Sus scrofa: one gene and its partner. The protein of the gene in region 2 purifies or fractionates together with the protein of the main gene of each other region. This does not show direct contact. Links are inferred from orthologs where the notes say so. Each region holds a gene or a part of one and is shown on either strand. Other genes may lie near its edges. The genes, in order: INHBA and ACVR2B.

Region 1 (12,095 bases), on a different chromosome or scaffold from region 2:
GTAAATCTCACCTATGACTTTAATCTTCTATTCTTCACCGAGGTTGCCCTGTGCCTCGCTGTGGAAGGGTCCCTGGTGGGGGAATATAGAGCCACTTTTGACAGCATGTGTGTTCCCTGAGCACGGATTTCGCATTTGGACTGTTAACCAGGGGTTCCGCAAAAAGCAGCCAGTGAGGCCTTAAAGATTCTGCCTCCTTTAGCCTCCATCCAGAGGTCGGTCTTGCCCCCCAGGGCAGAGCTGCAAGTTGGGTTAGAAATGATCTGGATTGATTTTTTTTTCAGCCTTAATATCTTTCCTGACATTTACTGAATTGTAAAGGATCGGCCACAGTCCTGTGCCTTTCATTTAAAGGGTGATGAAAAAAGGTGAAATATTTTCAAGAGAAAGGCATCTTGGGTTCCTGAAAGACGCAGAGAAAATTCTGAGGTGCAACCCACAGACTTTCAGAGCCTTCTTCCAAAGTTCCTGAGAACTTTTACACTTTGGATTTTGGATCTGGGACTCGGGGGGGGCGGGGGGATAGCGTTCCGAACCACAGGAAGACTAGCTGAGAGATCTTGCTGGAGTATATTTTTAGCAGAAGAGAGGCCAAGACAAAGACGGGGCTTTCACGAAAAGAGCTTGGGCAGGGATGCTTTCAGCCTGTCTTCAGACAACACAAGCTCTCCCCCGACCCTCCCCGCACTCCCACTCCCGCACTCCTCCCTCACAGGCCCAAACCACGAATCGAATCCATCTCTCTCAGCTTTTCTCCACCACTGCTCTCCACGCCCTCCGCTCAGAAACGAACACATCTTCCCAAGCCCTACACTCTGCTGCCTTAAATCCACAGACTTTCTCCTCCCAGTCTGAAGTCACTTGTCATGTGTCACTGGTTGAAAAACCTGTTGATAAGACTGACTGACCTAGGCAACCCAATCAGGGGAGACAGAAGATGGGGTTTTTGGTAAAAGCCCAGGCGGCCGTATTCGGGAGAGATGTGTGAGCAGCTCAGTATTGCTGATGACTCAGGGCCACATTTCTCCCGCTCTGCTTTGTTTGCTTCTGAAATGTATCATTCCAGAGAGCTCCAGAATGTTCACATGTATCAATAACTAGAATTCCCATTTCCCCTCCTTCGGTCTCATTTCACGTGTTACAGGTAAGTCACGTCCTTCCCATCCCATAACAAGCCTAACTTTTCCCAGAGGATGAGAGGAAGGAGCCGGGGAACTGATAATCCCTGAGATTAGGGCGCTACAGCCTGGGGCTTCCAGTAGGTGAAATTGTGTTTCCCTAGAAGATTAACAGATAAGGAGCAAAAGTCTTTGGAAGGCGCCCTCTTGTGGCCAATCACGCCCCACTATTCAGAGGAGAAAGTGTGTAACCCCTAAAGACACCTTCCAGGGAGGGTGAATTCCCAGGCAAGTTCAGGAGACTGCCAGGGGGTGACGGGAGTCCATTCCTCTTTGAGCTGGCCTTCTTGGGGTGGAGGAAAACTCATCCCAGCCAGCTGCTTCCAGCCCCTGTTCGGGAACATTTGTGACCATTTCTAATGCAAATCTTCTGTAACTAGGATCTTCCAGGGGAGGCGGTGTACACGCTGCTTTCAACCACCCTTGGGCTATGTCAGTGTTTTCTGTTTCTCGGTGTTTGATTTGCCTTCCTTTCCTAGCCTTTCTTCAGCAAGTGCTGTCACTGCTAACTTAACGACCAGAATCGGTGTATAAACTTGGCATCACAGAGAGTCAAGGATACATGTTATTGTACTTTGCCGGCTGTTGTCACTAATGCAAAGGAGATAAAACAGGATACAGTGGTCGCGAAAACCACTGACTTTAGCTTTCGTGACAATGACGGGGACAGTTGCCTTAGCTCTGCCCATCCCTTCCTCCTTTCTTTTGAGATTTTCAAGAACACAGTAGACGATTCTGCTGCCAGCCTTGCCAAGAGTGCAGTGACCTCAGTGAGCAATGCTGGGTGACAGATATGATGAGAAAAAGCATTTTTGTTTGTGGGAATATGTTCCAGAGAGCCCGAGGGCCACTCCTTGCCTCTTACTCCATAACCTCTCAGCTTTACCAGGACGAGGCCTTGGGCACCTGAGCACAGTGAGACTGACTCAGTTCAAAGACCTCTGGGCACGTGAGGTGCTGTCATCTTTCAACTGCCAGGTGGCCCTGTCTCGGCCTGTTTGGTCGTGGAGCGTGGAGGCAACAACTGAACGCGAATCCCCAGCTGAGGAAACCTGAGACCGAGGGGGGCCTCTGTAGGCGTGTGACCCTCACGCAGGCCACACTTACTGACTGCATCCTACGCGGTACAGAATCGCTTCTGAAGAAAAGGACAGTGAGTGCTCTCTGCTGCTCTCAAAAATCTTGACTTCTGACTTTGGCCGAGTGTTGCTCAGGTTGACTTAGTCATAGCAGTAGAGCAATGAGACATGTTTGTATTTTCACTACCGTCACCCCGATGTTAAATCTCTTTCTTGGTTTAGCATAGAAGCGCCCACAGACACGGTACTACTCTCTTCCGGGAGAGGAGACCGTCCGTAGGGCAGTCACTCTGGGGAACTCGTACTAAATCGGCCCGAGGCAAAACCTCTGCAATGAGCAAACTGAGCAAGGAGAATCAAATCTTTGCTGAGGATCCAGCAGCTCAGCCCGAGTCTGGGTGTAAAACGCAAACGGGAGGAGTTTCCATTACAGACCCTCAACTTTAGTCAATGTGCGAATCAAATGAATCCACCTTTTCAAAAAGCAGCTCAATTTCTTTCCAACCAAACACCTACCAGAGGAGTTTAAAAAAAAAAGGACAAGACTGAGGGAAAGACTGGCATGAGACGAGGCCATACGTGAGAAAGAATGGGAAAGGTCAGATTCTTCCATGGCAAAATTCTCAATGCCAAGGGAGCGAGTGATTCGCTATCCGAGTCAAAGTCAGATCCGGGGGCCCAGTGCTGGTATCAGGGATAGAATTCAAAGGGGCCAGGGGCATAAGTCTACTTAGTCATATGATGTGGGTAAAGCCAGTTGAGGAAGAGCTGCAATTAAGGCCGTGCTGTGTGGCAACTGGTGTATAAAAACCTGTACAGGGTCCCTTTGTGGCAAGAGTGGGAACAGCCCCCCAACCACTGGAATCCACTTGCTGCTCAGGACCCCGGCAAAGACTGAGCAAATCTGGGTAGCCACTCGAAAGCTCCACCCTGCCTTTCCCCTCCATACGCTTCAAAAGATAAAGTCAAAAGTATCAGGGCCTTTGGGGCTTCATTAAAAAAAAAAAAAAAAAAAAGGTTTAGAGGAAGAAAGTAGTCAGACCTTTCTCGAAAGGAAAGAAGCTTCTGGTGAGACAGCTAGAACCGCCCTTAGGACATCAGGGCTTTGCCGAGGAGGAGAAGCCAGCAAGCCAGCAGGCTATCTGCTCCCTTCAAGAGGATGCCCAGGTCTCGCACGGTTTTCTTGAGCACATAACATCTGAGTCAACAGGTTTTCAGGATTGGAAATTCTGAGTGTTGCCTTAATTGTTTATACTGCTGCGGCAAACTTTTAAACAGCAATGCTGGGAGTCCCGGCACACACTTTACTGGCCATATGCTCTACCAAACAAAACAATGGCATTCCTTTCAAATGGATTTGGCAAGGGATACCATTCTGTAGCCTGGCATTACCATGAAAGTAACATGGAATTAACACATCTGTGTGCCTGGACTTGCCCAGCTTGTAGGCAGGCAAAAGGATCCGGGTCACATAACTGTAAAAATGACCTGGCCCCGGGTCTCCAGCCCTCCCGCTTGACAGGTATTTTTTTCTTCAGCAACAGGTTCGTGTGGTCCTGAGCCAACGATTAGAATCTATTTATTAAAGTTCTTCCTCTTAAGGATTGAGTGAGAGCTCCGTGTAGTATCTGGAGCACTTTGTCAAGGTTGCATTCCTTGGCAGAGAGCTCTTAGTAACTTTACAGAGAACAAAACTCTTTCTTTTCCTTTTTTTTTTTTTTTTTTTTTTTGGTTCCGAGAGCAAAAGTCAGTGTTCCAAAAAGCAACTGCCTGCCGGTTCAATGTCATGTGCCCCCACCCCCACCCCCACCCCCACCCCCACGTCGCTCTCGCTCGTCCCTGCCTAAAACGTGATGCCTGTGCTCCTTCGAAGCCGAGTTGCCAAAGGTAAACACGACTGTCACTAATGCAGATGCCCCGCTTCTGGAAGGTGGCCCCTGATTGGACTTTTAAAGAAAAAGGGCTGCTTGGGCGACAAGGACTTCCTCCGTGCCCTTCCACCCCAATCCCGCGCTCGCCGCCCCCTCCCCCGCCCCCGGGTAGAAACTTCGGATGGGGTCCGGAAGCCTCCCGCCCCCCCCAGCCCCCCGAAACTGCCCGGCTTTCCTCTCGCCGCCCTGCTCTGCTCTCCCGGGCAGGGCAAGGGAGCCTCTCTCCCGCCGGCTTCCTGCTCCGGGATCGGCCGAGCGCTTCCTCGGCGCGACCGGCCGAGCGGAGCAAGTGTACGCCGACCCCCTCCCTGCCGCCGCCGGCCGGGGCTCTGCCTGGGCTCCCGGCTCCGGGAGGTTCCCTCCCGGTCCGCCCCTGGTCGCCCCCCGGCCGGCCCGCTCCCGCGCCCGGCGAACGCACGACCTTCCCGGGCGGGTGCAGCTGGAGGGCGGCAGGTTCCCCCCGCGCGGTCGGAGACCCGTGCCCCCCACCCCGCCCCCCAGGCCAGCACCCACCTGCTTCCGCGAAGGTGATGATCTCCGAGGTCTGCTCCATGAGTTCATTCATTTCCGCCCTCCTCCCGATGTCGTCCTCCAGCTCCACGTACCCGTTCTCCCCCACTTTGCCCACATGAAGCTTTCTGATCGCGTTCAGAAGCGCCGCCTTGGGTACCGGCTGGGTGACATCGGGTCTCTTCTTCAAGTGCAGCATGTTTAAAATGTGCTTCTTGACGGCTTCCACCATCTCCGGCTGAGAGTTGGGTACATCCTTTGGGAGGGTGGCCAGCGCACAGGACGGGCAGTCCGGGGCTGCGCTGTGCCCCCCGGATCCTGGGGTGGGGGAACTCCTCACTATAATCCAGCAACTCGCCAACAAAAATCCTCTCAGCCAAAGCAAGGGCATCCTGGCAGCCAAAGTTGTGGTGACGGCCCTTTTAAAAGGCTCCGCTCTTCCTCCCCCTCACGCACGGGTTTTTTTTTTTTTTTTTTTTTTTTTTTTTTTTTTTTGCTTTTTTTTTTTTCTCTCTCTCTTTCCTTTTTGGGGTTTTGGTGTGTGTGTGTGTGTTTTGGTTGGTTTGTTTGTTTGTTTTTGTTTGTTTGTTTCCTGTCTCCTCTTCAGTCAATTCTCTGGAACAAGAACAAAAAGTTTGCTGTGAAGTTTGTTTGCAGGTTCCCTCTCTGGATGCAGTCGGGGCTGTAGGTTTGTGGCTGTCAGGGAGGAGAGTAAGAGAGAGGGAGGGAGGGAGGGAGGGAGGGGGGAGAGACGGGGGGGGGGAGACAGAGACAGAGAGAGGATGGGAGGGAAGAGAGACGGGGAGGGAGGGGGGGGGAGAGGGGGAGAGAGGGAGCGATTGGCCCCGAGTGAGTGAGTGAATGGGAGAGGGAGGGAGCCGCGCTGCGAGTAAAGGCTGAGATTAGGAAGGGGAGGGACCGCCCGCTCTGACGGGCTGCTCGCCTGCTGCTCGCGGCTCCCTCGCACACACCTCTCTGCACACACCACCCGCCGCCCGAGGTCTGCTTCCCCTCCGCGAGGAAACGCTCCTGATTTTGGGCCACTTCTCCTTTCCCTCCCTTGCTTTCTCTGCCCAGTCCCCTTGCTTCACCTTCTTCCTCTTTTTTTTTTTTTTTTTTTTGGCGGGGGGGGGGGGAAGCAAAGCCCAGACACAGACGCCCTATCTCAATCAATCCACCGAGAGGACCCGCCGGAACCAGCCTGGCCCAGCGCCCCTCCACCTGCCGAGCCACCGACTCAGGGGTTCGGACACCCCCGGCGGGAAGGTGGGGTTCAGGGTCCCCGGAGGGGGCGGACAGGTGATGGAGGGCTTGGGAAGAGGGGCCAGCCCATCCTCCTGGGCTGAGGGAATCCTGCAGAGCGCCCCCCCCCGCCCCCCTCCCCCGCCCTTCATTCATAGTTCAGTGTTCAGGGCCGTCCACGCTGGCGGGCGATCAGAGATCAGAGAACTTTTGTTTGGGGTCATGTCACAGACTCTACTTTTCCCCAAATGCAAAAATGCAGCCGGGCATTGGAAGATCCACAGGCAGGCGGGCTGGCAGGCAGCGTGGTCCACGCTCCTGTCATGTGCAGCTCTGCACCCTCTCTTAGCCGTGCCCCTTCTGCCCTGCACACACACGCACAGATGACAGCTTACCACCGCTGGCCCTGACTGACTGCACAGATAAAACGCACAAGTCAGTTGGCCTTTCCCACATTATTTTATATAAAGAGTGCGCTCCCGTGACTTGAATAACTGGTCCTAGGGGGAAAGAATCGCTAAAATATATGGGCAAATGACTTTCTCTGTCATGTGGTAGTTTGTTCAGCCTGGCCCCTACCCCCATCCCCATTCCAGACCAGTCTGCTCATGGACTGGCCCCCTGACGGCTTCTTTTTCTCTCCAAGGAACAGCACAAGATGAAATCATCACGGATTTCAGTGTTCACAGCAAAAAGAAAAATGTGAATGTTTAAACAATGCCTCTCTGAGTTTTTTTTAATTCTCTCCCCCCCTTTTTTTTCATTTTCTGTCTTATTGCTTTTATCTTGCAGAAGTATCTTTAAGAGGTCCATCTGTTAAAGCTTTCCCTCCCTCTCGGTTTCTTTCCCACACATAAGCCCTCTCAGTTTCTGTAGATACAGTCGGCTTATATCTGACACCTAGTGTGTTCAGAGCATTACAGTTAAGCAATGCATTTTGGGTGGGAAAAGTTAATAAATACCCTTATTTACAAGCATCCCCTCTGAAGGCAAGGGGATGCGGGTGAGACAAGTGTGATGCTGAGTTAAAATTACAGCTCGCACAGGTAAGGATGCTTCTCTTAATTGGATACCCTGTCCCCCTTTTCTAAAGCAACTGACTGCAGCAATCCCTCTGTTACCAGCCACCTTTGGGATTTTACCTCCAGAAACGTCAATTCCTCTGCTATTATTGTGAAGACTTTGTCAACATTCCCTAAAGAGTCTAATTTAGTTTCTTAGTGGGGGATGGCGAAAGAGAATGGGGAAGGGGGGGGGCATCTGTGTCAATAATTGCTTAATAAAACATCTTTGAAATAGATTACTTAACATAATCTACCTATTTGGCGTCACACAGACAGTGCCCAAAGCTTTTGTAGTCCAATTAAGTTTTACAAGAGACTCTGAAATAGAACTAAAAGTTGAATGGCTCCAAACAAGTTGAGAGCCCTCATCCAGCTTCACCGAGCTAAGTGCAACTGATCACTATTTAGATTCTCCCTGTATTTGAGTTTGTGTGCGTTCCCCGAATCTTCTGTTTGTGAAGGTAACTTAAAAATGAGCCTTCTCCTGGCACAGGTACTCGCAAGGAGGTGCTGACTGGGTTGGAGAAACACATACTCGCTTTGCATGCTCTGCTATTAAAAGCTGTTTTAACTCGCTGGAAGACCTACAAAGGCACAGATCATCAAATATGCATGGAAATGCCAATAAGTTGTAAAAATTCCTGCTCACCCTTCTGGCTAGGCACGTGTAAAGAGCACAGCAGTAAGCATTAAAAAGCATTACCTTTCCGGTCCTCTCTCTTTCACCAGCAGACTCTTGTATCATGTGGCAAGTGCCTTCGGAGTTCCTCTTCATGGCATTGGCACTGAGAATTTTTATACTGTACTACTTATTTGTACAGTCACACATTGGTACCAGTCAAGCAGGGAGGGCTGGGGCTTTGTTTGGGATTGGTTGGAAGCAGAATGACATCAGCAGATGACTGGTTTTTCCAGTGTGAGACATATTTCATAACTCATTATCTAATGGAAAGCCTTTCTCGGCTGCTGTGACACTCCTGGGTGATCACGGAGCCAGGGAAACCTCTGACTGACTAGACGACCCTTTAGAAAAATCCTGCAACCCAACAGCGAGCGCTCACTGAGGGACCAGCTTTCAACTTTGACCACTCGCACATCAAGCACGTCAGTTTCTCCCTCTTGTCAGGCTCAGTTCTGTGTCTTCCCATAAAACTTCTCCATGAAGTTGCCTCTATTGACAAAGTATTTTATTGTTGCTGACAGGGGAAAAAAATTCGCAGGGCTCTCCCTACAGGTTCTGATTTTCCTTTTTGAAATAAGCTATTTCGTGGAGGAAAAAATAGGAAACGATGTATATCTCTGAGGGATGATCTCCGCCCCCAGCCCACTTGCACTATTACTTTACATCTTGAAACTGAATGCCGGCTTCATAAATCATTTATCACTAAGAACTTTGGAAACAGTCATTCTCTGCTGGTGAACCTTCTAAGTGTCTTTCCCAAGTCTTTAGAATCCCAAACTAACTAGTAAAAAAAAAAACAAACAACAAACAAAAATACAAAAAAAAAAAAAAACCAAAAAACTCATACATCATTCTTCTTTATCAGAACTTCAAGTCCTATGATTTCTAAATTGTTACAAAGAGAACATGAGATTAATGGAAAGAAGTGAACATTTCCTGAAAGAGGAGTTAAGTTGGTCACGATGTTTTGGGGACGGAGGGGGGAGTGTTAGCAAGTCAGGGGAAAAAAAAAAAAACAGGAGGAAAGATGCCTCAGACATAAAAATGGAAGGCTTGTTTGAAGGAGTCTAGCTGAAGCACAAGCCGGGTACTCATGACAAGTTGAATAAAATGTGCAAAATTGGGAGCTAATGAAAGCCATATGACAAGATACGTTATTGTGGATGCAGGATTTAACATGCATAAAATAAACTTTTCACTGTGCCCACAAGCAAAATATAGAGGCTCTGGCCTCCTGATGGGTAGTTTAGGCCCCTTTCTTTGGGCCACCAGAAGTCTGCAGAAGCGGGCCTGCCTTGGCTAAACACAGAGAAAGTGTGAGGTCAGAGCCATAAATGGGGGTTGGGGCAGGGAGTATTCTAAGAATTGCATATGCAGAAATGAAGTCAAAAATAAAAATCATTAGGTTGTAGAGGAACAGAGGGAATCTGAGAAGGAAAGACAGAAACAGGATCAGTGCTGGTTAAACTCCTACCCTGCCCCTCAGTCTGGAACTGGAAGGACCCAAGCTCTCTGCAAGAAAGGAGCTCCCTTACCCTTTTTAAATGAGCTCTCCGGGAGAGCAGCGGTCTGAGGGGCATCTAAACTCCCCCCTGCCCCCCCCCCCAACCCCGGGTGGCGTTCTGGAAACGCCACCGGGTTTATGAGTCTGGGGGCACAAACCCACCCGGAGGAGACCCCGGATGCTGCTACTTACTACCAGATAACCTCAGTGTCTCTAAAGTGGGCTCCACAATAACTCCCCTGCGGGGTCAAAAGCACGTGCTCCGAAAAACAGGAGGCGATATGATTTCCGAGATGCCCAGTGGGCGCCTCTCTCTGAACATCTGTGTCACAGGAAATCTGCAGCACCCCAGAGGAGCCACCCAATCTCTGTGACTCAGATCGCGTTGGCCACGGATGCCATCGAAGTGCCCACCTGCCTGGGTCAGCCCACCAGCTGTGACGTCATTCTCTACCTGAATCCCCAACCTCCGGGCTCAGCCCCGCGGGAGATGCCTCCTCGCTCAGAGGAAGACGAAGGTGGGGGGTGGGAGGGGGTGGGAGGGGGTGGGGGAGGAAGCAGGCAGGTTCAAATAACTTCGCTCCACTCTTTCGGGACCGGGGGTGATTTTTTCCCTGCCGGACTCCGGGGCCCAGGGCTGAGCTGGGCAGCCCGGCTCCCGACCAGCATCTCCTGTTCCTTGCTCGGGTCGGTTTCTCTTTCACTTCCTGCCCCTCCCCCCGCAGCTCCCCCCTCCCCGGCCTGCGGGCCCGCTGCTCGGCCTGCTACTGTACCTTGAGCAACACCTGCTGGCAGCTCCCGGGGATCACGCCGGATCGCGGCCGCTGCTCGAGCCCGGCTCGCGGGGCTGGAGTCACGGCCAAGCCGGGCGGAGCGGCCGCCTCTATTTTTACCCCGAGCACCCGCAAGGGCAACTTCTTTTAAGAGCAGCTCTTGATTTTTCCCCCCTTTTGGCAGCTAGAGAATTCAGAGAAGGGGGGGAGGTGGGGGGCGGGGGGGGGGGGGAGAAGCACTGATCGGGGAGTGCAGCTGGCAATCTCTGAACCCAGCCCTCGGTGGCAGGGCTTCAAAGCGCAGCCAATGCCAGGGACCAGGACGGGGACCTGAGGGCCGGCTCCGGGGCGGACAGAGGCGCGCGGGGAGCGCTACCGCCCCTCCAGCTCTGTCCCTTTTCCGATCGCTGAGCTGGGTCCTGCCGGGTCCTGCCGGCTCCTGCGCTAGCACGGTGGCCCGCTGCCACCGCGTTTTTCACCTAGTGCGGGCGGCCTGATTTACTGGCTACTTCAACAAAGCGCCCGGCTCCTCGCTCGCCGGAGCCTTCTGCAGGGCTCTGTTCTCGCCTGGAAGGAGCGGCCCCTGGAGAACCCAGGGAGGGGGGGAGCAGCTTGTTTCGAGGAGCCGGGAGGGAAAGTGTGGTACCTTATTTTACTGTAATTGCAAAAGGCACGATGTGCCAGAGATGTATATTTAGACGTTGTATGTTTCTACTTTTATGTAAATGGAGCAATTAGGGCCTGTCTTGCTGCTGCGAACTCCAGGGCTTGTGCCTTGCTGGGAAAGCTAGTGTTTTCAATCACAATTAGTGAGCTGGTCAAAAAACAAAGTTCGTTTAAGGATACAGGCCGGATGGCCTGAGCTGGGGGAGAGACCCGTGACCCTGTGCTGCCCTGTGGCCCTCAGCGACACACTTCTTGGGGGCACGGGCCACCTCTAGCCGTGTTTACTCCGTGGCAGCAGCTGTCCCTGCACAAAGTTGGCATAGATCAGGGAGCAAGAATGTTCATTTTTCTTCTCAAGCAAACCGTCTGTCCTTCGGCTTCCATCCATGCTATTAATTGGTCTCTTTGCTCACTACTCCTGGAACAAGGAGACAGGCCCAGAAAAGGGGCTCGTTTGTCATGGCCCTGTTGTTTTAGCTGCTGCTCACGCTTTGCCGTTACTCAGTTAAAAAAAATAATAATAGTAATACACATCAGGAGGCGTGAACACCCCAGGCAGGTGCCTGGGAGGTTGTGATCTGATTCGGCCGAAGTGGCACGAGGCTGGGGGTTCAGAGCACGGACGAGGCTGCTGACGAGTCAGAGTGTTTGAGTTCAAAAAATCTGTTTCCCCCAAAGCATGATTTCTGGTTCATCCCGTCTGGGAAACCGAACATAAAACGTGACTATGGGGAGAAACCAAAAGGAACCCGAGGTGTTCTCAGCAGCTGACATGTTATTCTGGGCTCAAGGCAGGAAAACCTTGTCTCCGTGGGGAGCGGTGACTCCCTCAAGAGGCAGCCCGGAATCCAGAAAACGTGGGCAGAAGCCAGAGAGATATTTGTTGCAGTGAGATTTCGGGAGTCTGATCAAAAATGGTTTGGATTGAATATGGGGCTGGCCAAACCGCCTGTTTGCTGGACAGCTGGAGGCTGCCCATCACCTGGACGCTAGCTTAGGTAGAGTGAATTGGGACAAAGAAGAATGAGCATTGCACATTCCAAACTGAGCTAGGAAGCTGTTTGCTTTTATGTCCAAGGCAATGAATGCATACAGCTAAATAGAAGAGGGAGAGGGAACGTTACAATTCCTCCAAAATTCCTTAGAAAACAAGAGGGTCAGGAAGAGCTAACCCCAGAGCCTTATTCCTAAGCCTCTCATTTTTCTGAGAACCACCGGAATATCCCATAAGGCCTCGGGCTATGTATGAGTGCTCTGTTTTGAGAGTATTTGGAAGTGCCTTATCTGAACCAAGGGAACTCAGATGCTACAGCTAAAATGACTAAGGAAAGAAAAGAAAACAACGCCAGTAAATGAACTGTTAGCTTTCCATTTAGAATAGAGGCTCTCAAGTGCGATGATTTTGCTCCCCAGGAGACCTGGGGCCATGCCCAAAGGCAAAATTTTTTGCTTGGTCTAACTGGGAA
Region 2 (11,995 bases):
AGAGAAGAGAGCTGGGGGTATCTGTATTTAGTATATTATGTGTTGTTCTTATTTCAGTATGGTACCTGTACCCTGAAATTTGCCTACTCCTCCATCTTCTGAGGCTCTCTATTTGTGTGTGTGTGTGGGCGGGGGATTCCTATGCATGTGAAATTTCCTGGGTCAAGGACTGAACCCTTGCCACAACAGCAGCTCTGCTGCAGTGACAAGGTGGGATCCTTAACCCACTGCACCAGAACAGAAGGGACTTTCCTGAGGCTATTTTATCTTTGGAAAATTACCGGCTGTGGAGTTTCTGTCGTGGCTCAGTGGAAATGAATTTGACTAGTATCCACAAGGATGCAGTTTTGATCTCTGGCCTTGCTCAGTGGGTTAAGGATCTGGCGTTGCTGTGAGCTGTGGTGTAGGTCGAAGACATAGCTCAGATCTAGTGTTGCTGTGGCTGTAGGGTAGGCTAGCTGCCGTAGCTTTGATTCGACCCCTAGCCTGGGAACTTCCATTTGCCATGGGTGCAGCTCTGAAAAGCAAAAAACCCCAGCTGTCTGCAGGGCTAGGGATGGGCAGCCCCCAGCCATGGGAAGTGATAGTGAGATCTGAGGTTCTGACTGTCCCTTACCAACCAACCCATCTATCTTTGGACTTATCTCTGCCCCATTTCCAGATACATCTGGTGCCACAAATTCCCGAGTTTGGGAAGGTTCTGTGGTAGAAATCATGTTGCTTCTCAGCTTTCTCCACAATTTAGGAGTCTGTAGTCATTGACTACTTGTGTATTTGCTTTCCAACTTTAGAACTTCATTTCTGTGGTTCTTTTATTTCTAATTTTTTTTAAAAGTTATTTTTTAAGTTTTAAAAATTTAAAATTTCTGGCCACACTCATGGCATGCAGAAGTTCCCAGGCCAGGGATCGAACCTGAGCCACAGCAATAACCTGAGCCAGTGCTGTGACAGTGGGTATTTAACCTGCTGAGCCACATAGGAATTCCTCTGTGGTTCTTTCCTGTTCTGTTCTTCTTCCTTTTTTTTTTTTTTTCCTTTTGGCTGCTTCAAGGCATATGGAATTCTCTGGCCAGGGTTCAGATCCAAGCTGCAGTTGTGACTTAAGCTGCAGCTGTGGCAGTGCCAGTTCCTTAACCCACTGTGCCAGAATGGGGATTGAACCTGCACCCCAGGGCTCCCTAGATGCTGCTGATCCTGTTGTGCCACAGCAAAAACTCCTTTTCCTGTTCTTTTTGTCCTATGGGTTTATGCCTTAAAAATCTTCTTTGCTGTGGTTTTAGTGGAATTACAGAAGGGGGCAAAAGTAATATCTGTCTCTCCTTGACCTTTACGGAAGCTCTCTCATCAGTGTTCTTCAGGAAAAATGGGCCCTGGAGAAAGGCAAGTGTTTCAGTGAGTGGCCTTGGACGCATACCTTGTTCTATGGGAGAATGGTGCCAGGGACTTGTTTATAGAGTTGAGGTTGGAAGTGACTTGAGGTGACCTAGCTTGATTCTTTGTTCCTAGGCCCAACTTCTGGAGGCAGATAGAGTTCCTCTTGTCACCCTTGGAAATTGCTCCTGAACTCCCATTTCTGGCAGTAATAGTCATCAAAATAGCTGAAAAACCTCCTTATACAAGATAATGGAAATGTTGGATAAAGTATAACAGATATCCTTTTAAAATGCATATGCATAATTGCATGTGTAAAAAAGTAAGGGAGAAGCAAGCTTGGGCTGGAATCTAGAGCTCTACCCCTTCACTGGCTAAAGCTGCTTATTCCCAGGGGACTTTGCCTCTCCATAATTTAGAGATGTGGGTTTAGTAGCAGTGTGTGAGGCATAGGAGATAAGATGTGGAATTGAGACTGAGGCTCACATGATAAGACCTGCACAGGGTTGTACATTCATTGAAAGTATGGACTAGAGGAAACCTTTTGCTGATAAGGGGATAGATAATGAATTTTTTTTTTTTTTTTTTTGCCTGTGTTGATGGAGGGTGGGTAGTTTCTCTTGAGCATTTGTAGCTATAGATATGTGCTTCCATGAGCTTGGAGTTGAGGTTGGTACCATCTGTGTTTCCTGGGAAACTGGAAGTTGAGAAATTAAAATGACTCCAGATTGGTAATGTCCTAGAAGATTTGGCAGAAGCAAAAATATAAATTATCTCTGGAAGCTTGCCCCTCAAAATCTTGGCCTCACTTTTTATTCCCACAGAAAAGGCCCCCACTGAACATAAGCTCTGAATCCAAAAACAGAATCCAAAATTCCAAAACACACAGGGAAACAAGAGACCACGAGTGAAAAATCATCAGAAGTAACAAGTGGCAGAAATAAATATTCAAGAAGTTAAATTATGGAATTACTAGATAAGGATTTAAAAGTATGACAAAGATCAAAGTTATCAAAATTGACCAAGAAGATTTTTTCTTTAATAGAATTTCTAGAAATGAAGAAGTAGAGTAATTGCATTTATAAATTAAGTAGAACTAAACTGCAAATTAGACCGAGCTAAAAAGAGAATTAATGAGTTGAAGTTAAACCTATGGAATTATCTGTAATGCTGCTTAGACACAGAATTGAAAAATATGAAAGCAGAGTTGAGATTGGGGATGGCCTGATATTTGTAAGAGGAATTTTAGAATTAAAGAACAGGAGAGATGCAATATTCCGGTTGATAAAAGCCACAAATTTTTCAGAATTGATGAAAGACATGAATCATCAGATTTAAAGCATACTCTTCTAAGCAGTGTAAATAAATTTCACCGTAGACACAAAGCCCATCAGTGACACTTTAAGAAGTAGATGTGAGGAGTTCCTGTCATGGCTCAGTGGTTAATGAATCCGACTGAGAACCATGAGGTTGCGGGTTCGATCCCTGGCCTTGCTCAGTGGGTTAAGGATCCAGCATTGCCGTGAGCTGTGGTGTAGGTCGCAGATGCGGCTCGGATCCCGCGTTGCTGTGGCTCTGGCATAGGCCGGTGGCTACTGCTCCGATTCGACCCCTAGCCTGGGAACCTCCATATGCTGAGGAAGTGGCCCAAGAAATGGCAAAAAGACAAAAAAAAAAAAAAAAAAAAAAAAGAAAAAAGAAAAGGAAAAGAAATAGATGTGAGAAATCAGCCAGAGGGAAAAGACAGAGTATCTACAAATTTAAACTAATAGATGTTTCAGCACTAATGATGGAAGCCAGATAATATTTTCGCTGAAAGAAAATAACTCAGCCTAAAAGTTTATGTTCTAAACTGTCAAGTTACGAAAAAGAACAAAATAACATTTTCAGAAAGGCTAACAAAGGCAACTCTACCGAAAGATCTTTACTGAAGGAAGGTGTTCTTTGGGAAGAACAGTGGTCCTAGAGAAAGAGCAGAGATGCAGAACGGATGGTGAGCAGATAGGTTGGTGAATGTATGGACAGACAAGAAAATGCTGATTGTATCAGATATCTGCTCTGGGAGGCAGGTAAGAAGAACAACAGCCAATTAAATACTGAACACACACGTTATATTAAATTAATTAAATGTAAGTTGGAAGGAGGTAATTGGAGATTAGAACCATTAAGTTCCTATGAGGAATGTGAGAGATGGTGATTATTTTTAGGCTGTTAGCATAAGTATACATATTAGGATTTAAAGGTTAGACTAGAATAGAATAGAAATAGGGTTCATTATTTCCAGACCAGAAGTGGCTGAAATGTGGAATTAAAAAAGATAATCCTGGTACAGTGGATTAAGTATTGGATGTTGTCACTGCTGTAGCATGGGTTCAGTCTGGTCTGGGAACTCCTGCATGCCAGGGATAACCTAAGGGTGGCAGTAGTAGAGAAAAAGCAAATTTAACCATAGTGTTAATTATAAATATAATGGGACTTAATTCTAGATCAAAGACAGTGTTAGGTTGATTTGAGGGGAAAAGATACAGGAAGATTTAAAATAAAAGTTGGAAGAAGATAAATTGGGAAAATACTAATTACAAGAAGTGTCATATAACATTGAGAATAAAGGCATTACCGAGCAGGAGTTCCCATTGTGGCTCAGCAGAAATGAACCTCACTAGGATCCATGAGGATACAGGTTTGATCCCCTCACTCAGCAGGTTAAGGATCCAGCATTTCCACGGGCTGTGGTGTAGGGTCGCAGACACGTCTTAGATCCGCATTGCTGTGGCTGTGGTGTAGGCTGGCAGCTGCAGCTCTGATTTGACCCCTTGCCTGGGAACCACCATATGCCCTAAAAAGAACCAAAGACAGGGGCATCACAGAACACGTGAAAGGCACGTACTCCAGAGCCAGGCTGCCTGTGTTCAAAACCTGGTTTTGACTCTTAGTAAATAACTTGGATAGAGTTACTATCTTGTGTGAAAGAAATTCAGAGATGAAATAGAGGCACATTTTTAGATTCTTTTCCTGCCTCTTGTCTGTATGTGCCATTCCATGGTCTGTATGTGCACACCTGTGTGTGTGTGTGTGTGTGTGGTGCTAGCCCACGCTCTTGCCTCCATTTCGGTTGTCTGTGGCCCCTACTACACCTGGCCAGCCTCCCTCTGGTCGTGGGAAAGGCAGTGAAGATGCTCCTCTGTGGACTGGGGAACATGGAGTCAGCATCCACATGGAGTTACAGCTCAGATACTGTCGCTGGGAGCCCTCACCTTCAGGACTCCAGGGAGTCCTCTGGTTGAGCCTGCTGGGACAGCAGGTGCTCAGCTAACTTTTGGTTAGCATCTAAAGCAGGGCCTCCCAGGAAGGGAGCGTGGTCACTGTTGCGGGGCAGGCGGTGGCTGCCTCTCTCTTGGCAGACCTGAAGGCTGGACCACGAGGAGAAGGCTGGGCTTGCCTCACTCAGCCTCGGCGGTTCCTGGGAGGGTGCACTGGTGCCAGGGGCCTGAGGGAGTGTGGGGGACACGGGCCTTGAGATGCATCCTGGTCTTGTCACTCTCCAGTGCCTGCAGAGGGAGGTAGGGGCTGCTGAGGGGCCTCCAGGTGCCAAGGGCAGAGTGCAATGACCCACTTGCTGCTGGGGTTTGTAGTACCTCTGGGAGATGTTGGCTGGGCTGGGTGCACCTCCATCCCAGAGTTCGGGGACCCCAGGGGAGGTGTGACTGCTCTAGCTCCAAACCCTCCACCAAGACTCCTTCTCTCTTTCCCCCTCCCCAGTGGATTTCCCTCTTTTCTCACCACTGGAACAAGCCCAGTGCATCCAGGGCTGATTGGCCTGGGAAACAGACCTCAAGTATCACAGCTGGTCCATGTAGCTTCATCCACCTCCTGGAATGTGGGTTCTGAGTGGAACCTGAATATGTTTTTTTGGTGGTGGTGTGTGTCCAGGAGCGGGGTTTCTCTGCTCTGAGGGCTTGGGGAACACTGGGGACTTCTTTCCACCAAGGTGTAGCCCCCTTGGAACTTAAGGACTGCCCATTGGAGACACTGCTGCTTGGATACCTGGTTCCTTTGGAGGCCAGAGGTTGGGTTGGCTGGTGCTTGGGGGTAGAGCCAGCCCCTTGCCCAAGTGTCTTTGGGCGGGGGGGGGGTGCTCAGTTTCCTCTCCTGCAGAAATGGGCAGTGGGCTAAGGTCGGGGGAGCCTGCTGTGCTTGGGGCCCTGGCTCTGTGGGTGTGGGCAGGAGCCCCATGCCTGGTAAAAGGCAGAGGGCCTTGTGGTTGGAGTGTTGCCAGAGGCTATAAATAGCTGAGTGTGTGCAGAAGAGGTATGGGGAGGGGATCCCTCTCCAGTTGGCAGCAGAGCCTGAGCTGGAGGTGGGGGGAGGCATGGTGTCTCCCAGTCTCCCCTGATCCCCCCGGGGCTCTGAATGCAAAGCTCTTGCAGGTGTGGGTGTACACACTGCCAGCTTGATGGGGTGGAGGCTTGTGTTGTGACAAGATGGCATAGGTAGCAGGGAGGGGTCTGGCTCTGATAGAACAGCAGCCGTGCCAGGCATTGTTCCAACCACTCTTTAAGTCATTTCGTTCTTGAAACAGCCAAGGCAGTAAGTACTGTTATCACCCCCTTTTTCACAAGTGGGGACACAGAGGCACAGGGTAGCTGGAGGTGTCAGCACCAGGACTTGAATGCAGTCAAGGCCACCTTTTTCTCACTTAGTCTGTAGGAGGATCTTGTCAGGTGGGGGTCTAATGTCATCCTGGACCCTTCGGTCCTACCTGGAGCCTTGAGGTTTGGGGTTCCCAGCCCTGTCCACATAGATCCTGCCCACAGTAGTGTCCAGAGGGTTCCCTGCCTGGTCATCAGCTTGCAGAGTGGAGCTAGACCAGCTTTGGACCACTCTTGATGTCTAGTGGCCTCTCTTGTTTGGGCTCCTGACGTCACATGTGGGAGCAGGGGCTTGTTGTCTGAGGGGAGATGGAAGCTCCTCTGAGGCTCGGGGGCTTGGCTTATAGGCTGAGGCTGCCCTATTGTCCCCTCCTTTCAAAATCCTGCTCTAGCCAGGAGATAACTATGTCCTTGTGTCCGACCATAGATCCTTCCTTCCGTCCTTCCATCCATCCATCTATTCCGCCTGTGTCCAGAACCAGTTCTAGCACTCGGCAGGCATGGCTTCTGCCTTCATCAACTTTACTGAGGGGAAGGCTGTTTAAAAGACAGTCCTCAAGCACATTTGCTTTGTTTCTTATGTGAGTGTTCATTACATTATTTTCTCCTAGGGATTATTTTTAGTTATATTATTTTTAGACTTCTTGAATGTCTGAAATAATCCTTTAAACAACAACAAGCAACTAGTCAAGGAAGATAAATTGGGTAAATGGAGGATGCAAAAGGCCACAGGGTTGTAGGGGTCCTGGGGACAGTGGGGCAGATTTGGGGGCCGGGACTGGGGGCTCTTTGGGAGGGCATGGTAAGAGGAATGGACTTGGTAAATGTTGGAGGCTGTGTTTGAAGGGGCAGTTGGGCTGAAGTGTTCAGCGACCTGGATGGCCCATGCACAGGGCAGAAGGGGAACGGGAGTGGGTAGGAAGTACCTACAGGGGTCTTGAGGACCAAGCCCAGCTGGGAGGATCCTCTGTTACCCTTGCTCTCCACCAGCCAGCCCCGCTTGGTGCACACATTCCCCCATGGTGATGCTGGGAGCCTTAACCTTCCTGATCCTTTACCACCTTCTCCAGTCCAGCCAGGCGCAGGTGCTGTTTGCTGGGTGCAGAAGGGACCCTGGAGGGTGCTCGTTTCCCATCAGGTCTGGTCAGGGGTGTGTGTTTTGGTGGGGGTCGGGGGACGATGACACACACTAGCATTGTCTCCCTGGAGGACTCTGGTGAGTGTGGGACAAGGCTGAGGCAGCGGCAGGAAGTGCCTTCCTAGTTTCTGAGACAGAAGGGGTGGTTCAAAATGTAGATTAAGGCCCACTCTAGTTGAATGGGTCTGGGCTGGGCCTAGAAATATGCATTTTTAGCAACACTCTCTGCTGCACCCTAATAGTGATTCTGACATGCTTTGGGGTTTGAGGGCCCCTCCATTCACTGCTGCAGGCCCACTCCCACTCAGGGGCCTCAGGAGCCAGTAAAACCCTTCCCTGTGCATCTGGCCGGGGAGTCCAGCCCTGGCCAGCCAGCCTCCCTGACATGGCCTGGGTGGCTCAGCATCTCCCTCCCCCTGGCGCAGGTTCCGGGCGTGGGGAGGCCGAGACACGGGAGTGCATCTACTACAACGCCAACTGGGAGCTGGAGCGCACCAACCAGAGTGGCCTGGAGCGCTGTGAGGGTGAGCAGGACAAGCGGCTACACTGCTACGCCTCCTGGCGCAACAGCTCAGGCACCATTGAGCTTGTGAAGAAGGGCTGCTGGCTAGACGACTTCAACTGCTACGACAGGTAGTCGGTGCCGCCAGGGCCGAGGAGGGGCTCTCCTGGGCCAGCAGGGGTGGTACCGGGTCTCTCTGAGTGCGTGTCCACCCTTGGTTAGCCCTCTTGACTTCCTGCTTTAGGGACGGTGGTTCCCCGTGGGGTTCTCTTTGGGGAGGGGTTTGGCTGGGCTGCCCCGGGGAGTCTGTGCCCCTCAACTGAGGGGCGGATGGGAAACTGTGCCTCCAGGCAGGAGTGTGTGGCCACCGAGGAGAACCCCCAGGTGTACTTCTGCTGCTGTGAAGGCAACTTCTGCAACGAGCGCTTCACCCACCTGCCTGAGGCAGGGGGCCCAGAAGGTGAGGGCCACCGGGGAGGAGACGTGGGCCAGCTGAGGTCCCGGAGCGCTCAGCTCCTGCTGGGTGGGGAGCAGCTGCAGGGCTCTCTGGTCTGGCCCTGGAGGTGTGTGGGTAGGCGGGCTGTGTGACGCCGGGCTCCATGTGTCCCCCAGTCACGTACGAGCCACCCCCGACAGCCCCCACCTTGCTCACTGTGCTGGCCTACTCGCTGCTGCCCATCGGGGGCCTCTCCCTCATAGTCCTGCTGGCCTTCTGGATGTACCGGCATCGCAAGCCCCCCTATGGCCACGTGGACATCCATGAGGTGAGACGGGGCTGGCTTGGGGCAAGGCGGGATAGAGGTGGGGAGGCCAGGCCAGGTCCTATTAAGCCCTTGATCTCTCCAGGACCCTGGACCTCCACCCCCGTCCCCTCTGGTGGGCCTGAAGCCGCTGCAGCTGCTTGAAATCAAGGCTCGGGGGCGCTTCGGCTGTGTCTGGAAAGCGCAGCTCATGAATGATTTTGTGGCTGTCAAGATCTTCCCACTCCAGGTGAGTGTTTGCCACTCCAGGGCAATCCCAGGGCCCATGGGGGTGGAGTGGGGCTAGGGTAGTGCTTTGCAAAGCCGCAGTCTGCTCTGGTTTTCAGGAATTTGTTCTGACATCAGGTTCTGCTTAGAGGCCCTGGACAGCAGGCCACCCTGAGCAGTTGCTCGGGACACTTAGCGACGACAGGCCTGCTCTGCTTCTCATTGATTAGGTGGTCTCTGGACCTCAGTGGCCCCTTGTCAATCAGATGCTGGCCTCAGTGCTCACATCACTATTGGCTTATGGTCCTGGGCCTGGCACAGCTCTGCTTTGCCTCCTTCACCGAAGCTGAGGTGGGGGCAGGGGTGGGGGAGCAGGTGGGGCACTTCTGCAGGGTGGAGTTCAGCTGCTTCCCCGCCTCAGGACAAGCAGTCGTGGCAGAGTGAGCGGGAGATCTTCAGCACGCCCGGCATGAAGCACGAGAACCTGCTACAGTTCATTGCCGCTGAGAAGCGAGGCTCCAACCTGGAGGTGGAGCTGTGGCTCATCACGGCCTTCCACGACAAGGTGAGCCATGCTTGTGGCTCCCGCTCCCACGTAGGTGAACAGGCCCTCCTGTGGCTTTCCATGGCTGTGGATGTGAAGGTGTGCAGTCAGAAACCCTAACCCTGGGATCACTTCTTAGGAATAGTAATGACTTCATGATCACCACCCCCTACAGCGCCTTTCCAACCCCTTGTGGCCTCATCGCTTCCAGCCTATAGCCCACAGAGACAGCCCTCCTGGGCTGGGCTGGGCTGGGTTCTGTCCTGTGCCCAGAGCCTGTGCTGTCTCCTCTAGGGCTCCCTCACAGATTACCTCAAGGGGAACATCATCACGTGGAATGAACTGTGTCATGTGGCAGAGACAATGTCAAGAGGCCTCTCGTACCTACACGAGGACGTGCCCTGGTGCCGTGGCGAGGGCCACAAGCCATCTATTGCCCACAGGTACCTGGGTTAGCAGTTGCCTTCCCTGCGCCTGACTTGGAGTTGCAGAGAGGGTTGGAGGGTGAGAACAGGGCCTGGGGGTCTCAGTTTCATAAACAGGCTTAGCCGCTCTGTGGTGTTTCAGAGGTGACTACACAAAACTCTGGGCCCTCCTGGCCCTTCCTCTGCCTTTCACTGGCATCCTGCAGGCTGACCTTGCAAGTCAGTTTTCTTGTGCCCTCCAGTGGCCACAGGAGGAAGTGCTGACTCTTTTACTTTGGTTGGTGGGTTGGTTTAGCCACTTCTCAAACTTTTTGGTTAGAGTCCCTTTAATTCTTGTGGGTTTTGTTTGTTGATATTTGCTGTATTGGAGCACACATACTGCATTAACTGTCAGAGTGATGACGTGTGTATAGCCTCTGGAAGATTCTATATTCTTAAGAGAACAAGGATTTTCTAAGAAGGCAAATAACAGATTATTATGAAAAGAATGTTGACCTTGCAGATCCCCTGAAATGCCTCAGGGACTCTCTGGGGTCCTTGGCTGATGCTTTAGGAGTCACTTTGTTAATTCCTCATCACAGTGCTCACTAAATGGCAGGCAGTGCTCTGAACACTTAGAAACACCAAGTCATTTAAGCCTCATAACCACCCTGTGAGATAGGTACTGTTTTTCTCACCTCATCATTTTTTTGGCTGCGCCATGCAATGGCTTGGTGTGGGATCTTAGTTCCCAGGCCAGGGCTTAAACCTGAGCCGCAGTGGTGAAAGCGCCAAGTCCTAACCACTAGACCACCAGGAATGCCCTCTGCCCGTGTTAAAAATGAGCTGGGGCGGACCTTGTTCCCCAGATATGGTGGAATGGCCTGGGCTGGGGTCTCTGGGAGTCAGGGTGGGAAGCTAGGAACCAGGTCGATTGGACCACATGTCAGCTCCACTTCAGTCCATTGTCTCCACAGGGACTTTAAAAGCAAGAATGTATTGCTGAAGAGTGACCTTACAGCTGTGCTGGCTGACTTTGGCCTGGCTGTTCGGTTTGAGCCAGGGAAACCTCCGGGGGACACTCATGGGCAGGTAATGGGCCTCAAGGGGTGCAAGATGGGGGCTGGCACTGGGCTGGACCCTGCCCTTCTGGTGCTCACCTGGCAGGGTGCAGGGGCAGGGGTTACCTTGAGAGCTCAGAGCAATGCTGTCATTTCACCAGTGGGGAAAGTGAGGCCTAGAGCGTAGTGTGGCTTCCCGGGCCTATCAGTGAGAAGCAGATTCTTTTTCCTCTTTCCATTCTAACTGTTTTTTTGCCTGCGCCTGTGGCATGTGAAGTTCTTGAGCCAGGGAGCAAACCCATGCCACAGTAGTGACCCAAGCCACTTCCGTGATAACGCCAGATCCTTAACCTGCCGAGCCAGTGGAGAACTCTCAGTTGTAATTATTAAACAAGGTAAAAATAATTATAAATATGGAGTTCCCAGGGTGGCTCAGCAGAAACAAATCTGACTGGTATCCATGAGGCCGCAGACTCCATCCCTGGCCTCACTCAGTGGGATAAGGATCCGGCATTGCTGTGAGCTGTGGTGAAGGTTGCAGATGCGGCTCAGATCTGGCATTGCTGTGGCTCTGGTGTAGGCTGGCAGCTCCAGCTCCAGACCTCTAGGCTGGCAGCCTTCATATGCCATGGGTGTGGCATTAAAAATATGTATTATTATTATAGATAAGAATATACTAAGAATCCAAAACCAAAAACCTACAATAACTAACTAAAGTTAAGCTTAAATCATCCTAGAACAATTGCTATTATTATTTTAAAGTATTCTCCCCTTTTTTTTTTGATGTTAATCTCTGCAAAATACACACCATCTGTGTAGCCCCTTGTGGTTTTGCTGGAGTAAAGAGGCAGCAGTTCCACATTCGGTTACCATTGTCTCTAATGATACTTGAAAATTATCCCTGAAGTGTAATTTACATTCTGACCCTTGTGCTCCCACCCAGTGGATGTGGCGAATCAGGAACAGCCATCATTGTCGATGGCCCTGCTGTGCATATGGAGTGTAGTTCTCAGGGCCAGCTGTAAGTGCATTAGTGTGTGGTCAGTGCCTGCAGACCCTCCCTGTTCTCGCACAGGTGGGCACGCGGAGGTACATGGCCCCTGAGGTGCTCGAGGGAGCCATCAACTTCCAGAGAGACGCCTTCCTGCGCATTGACATGTACGCCATGGGGCTAGTGCTGTGGGAGCTCGTGTCCCGCTGCAAGGCTGCCGACGGTGAGCGGGCTGGAGCCCCGAGCTTCCTGGGTGTGGGGTGGGGAGGGGCAGAGCCCTCAGGTGACCCCACTGGGCACTCTCTTCCCCAGGACCTGTGGACGAGTACATGCTGCCTTTTGAGGAGGAGATTGGTCAGCACCCGTC

What was found.
Region 1: the proteins of ACVR2B (region 2) and INHBA purify together in Homo sapiens (affinity purification with western blotting; 3 studies listed by BioGRID and IntAct, with this or other methods). This does not show direct contact. The link is inferred for Sus scrofa from reciprocal best matches to the Homo sapiens genes ACVR2B and INHBA.

Annotation. Positions count from the first base shown.
Region 1 is NC_010460.4:52,882,711-52,894,805, reverse strand, and holds the start of INHBA (inhibin beta A chain precursor), read right to left. Parts: upstream 5,123-12,095; 5' UTR 5,090-5,122; coding exon 4,702-5,089; intron 1-4,701. UniProt on the Homo sapiens protein: Inhibins/activins are involved in regulating a number of diverse functions such as hypothalamic and pituitary hormone secretion, gonadal hormone secretion, germ cell development and maturation, erythroid differentiation, insulin secretion, nerve cell survival, embryonic axial development or bone growth, depending on their subunit composition.
Region 2 is NC_010455.5:23,251,928-23,263,922, forward strand, and holds part of ACVR2B (activin receptor type-2B), read left to right. Parts: intron 1-7,583; coding exon 7,584-7,791; intron 7,792-8,010; coding exon 8,011-8,120; intron 8,121-8,272; coding exon 8,273-8,424; intron 8,425-8,506; coding exon 8,507-8,650; intron 8,651-9,049; coding exon 9,050-9,193; intron 9,194-9,466; coding exon 9,467-9,615; intron 9,616-10,553; coding exon 10,554-10,668; intron 10,669-11,712; coding exon 11,713-11,851; intron 11,852-11,940; coding exon 11,941-11,995. UniProt on the Homo sapiens protein: Transmembrane serine/threonine kinase activin type-2 receptor forming an activin receptor complex with activin type-1 serine/threonine kinase receptors (ACVR1, ACVR1B or ACVR1c).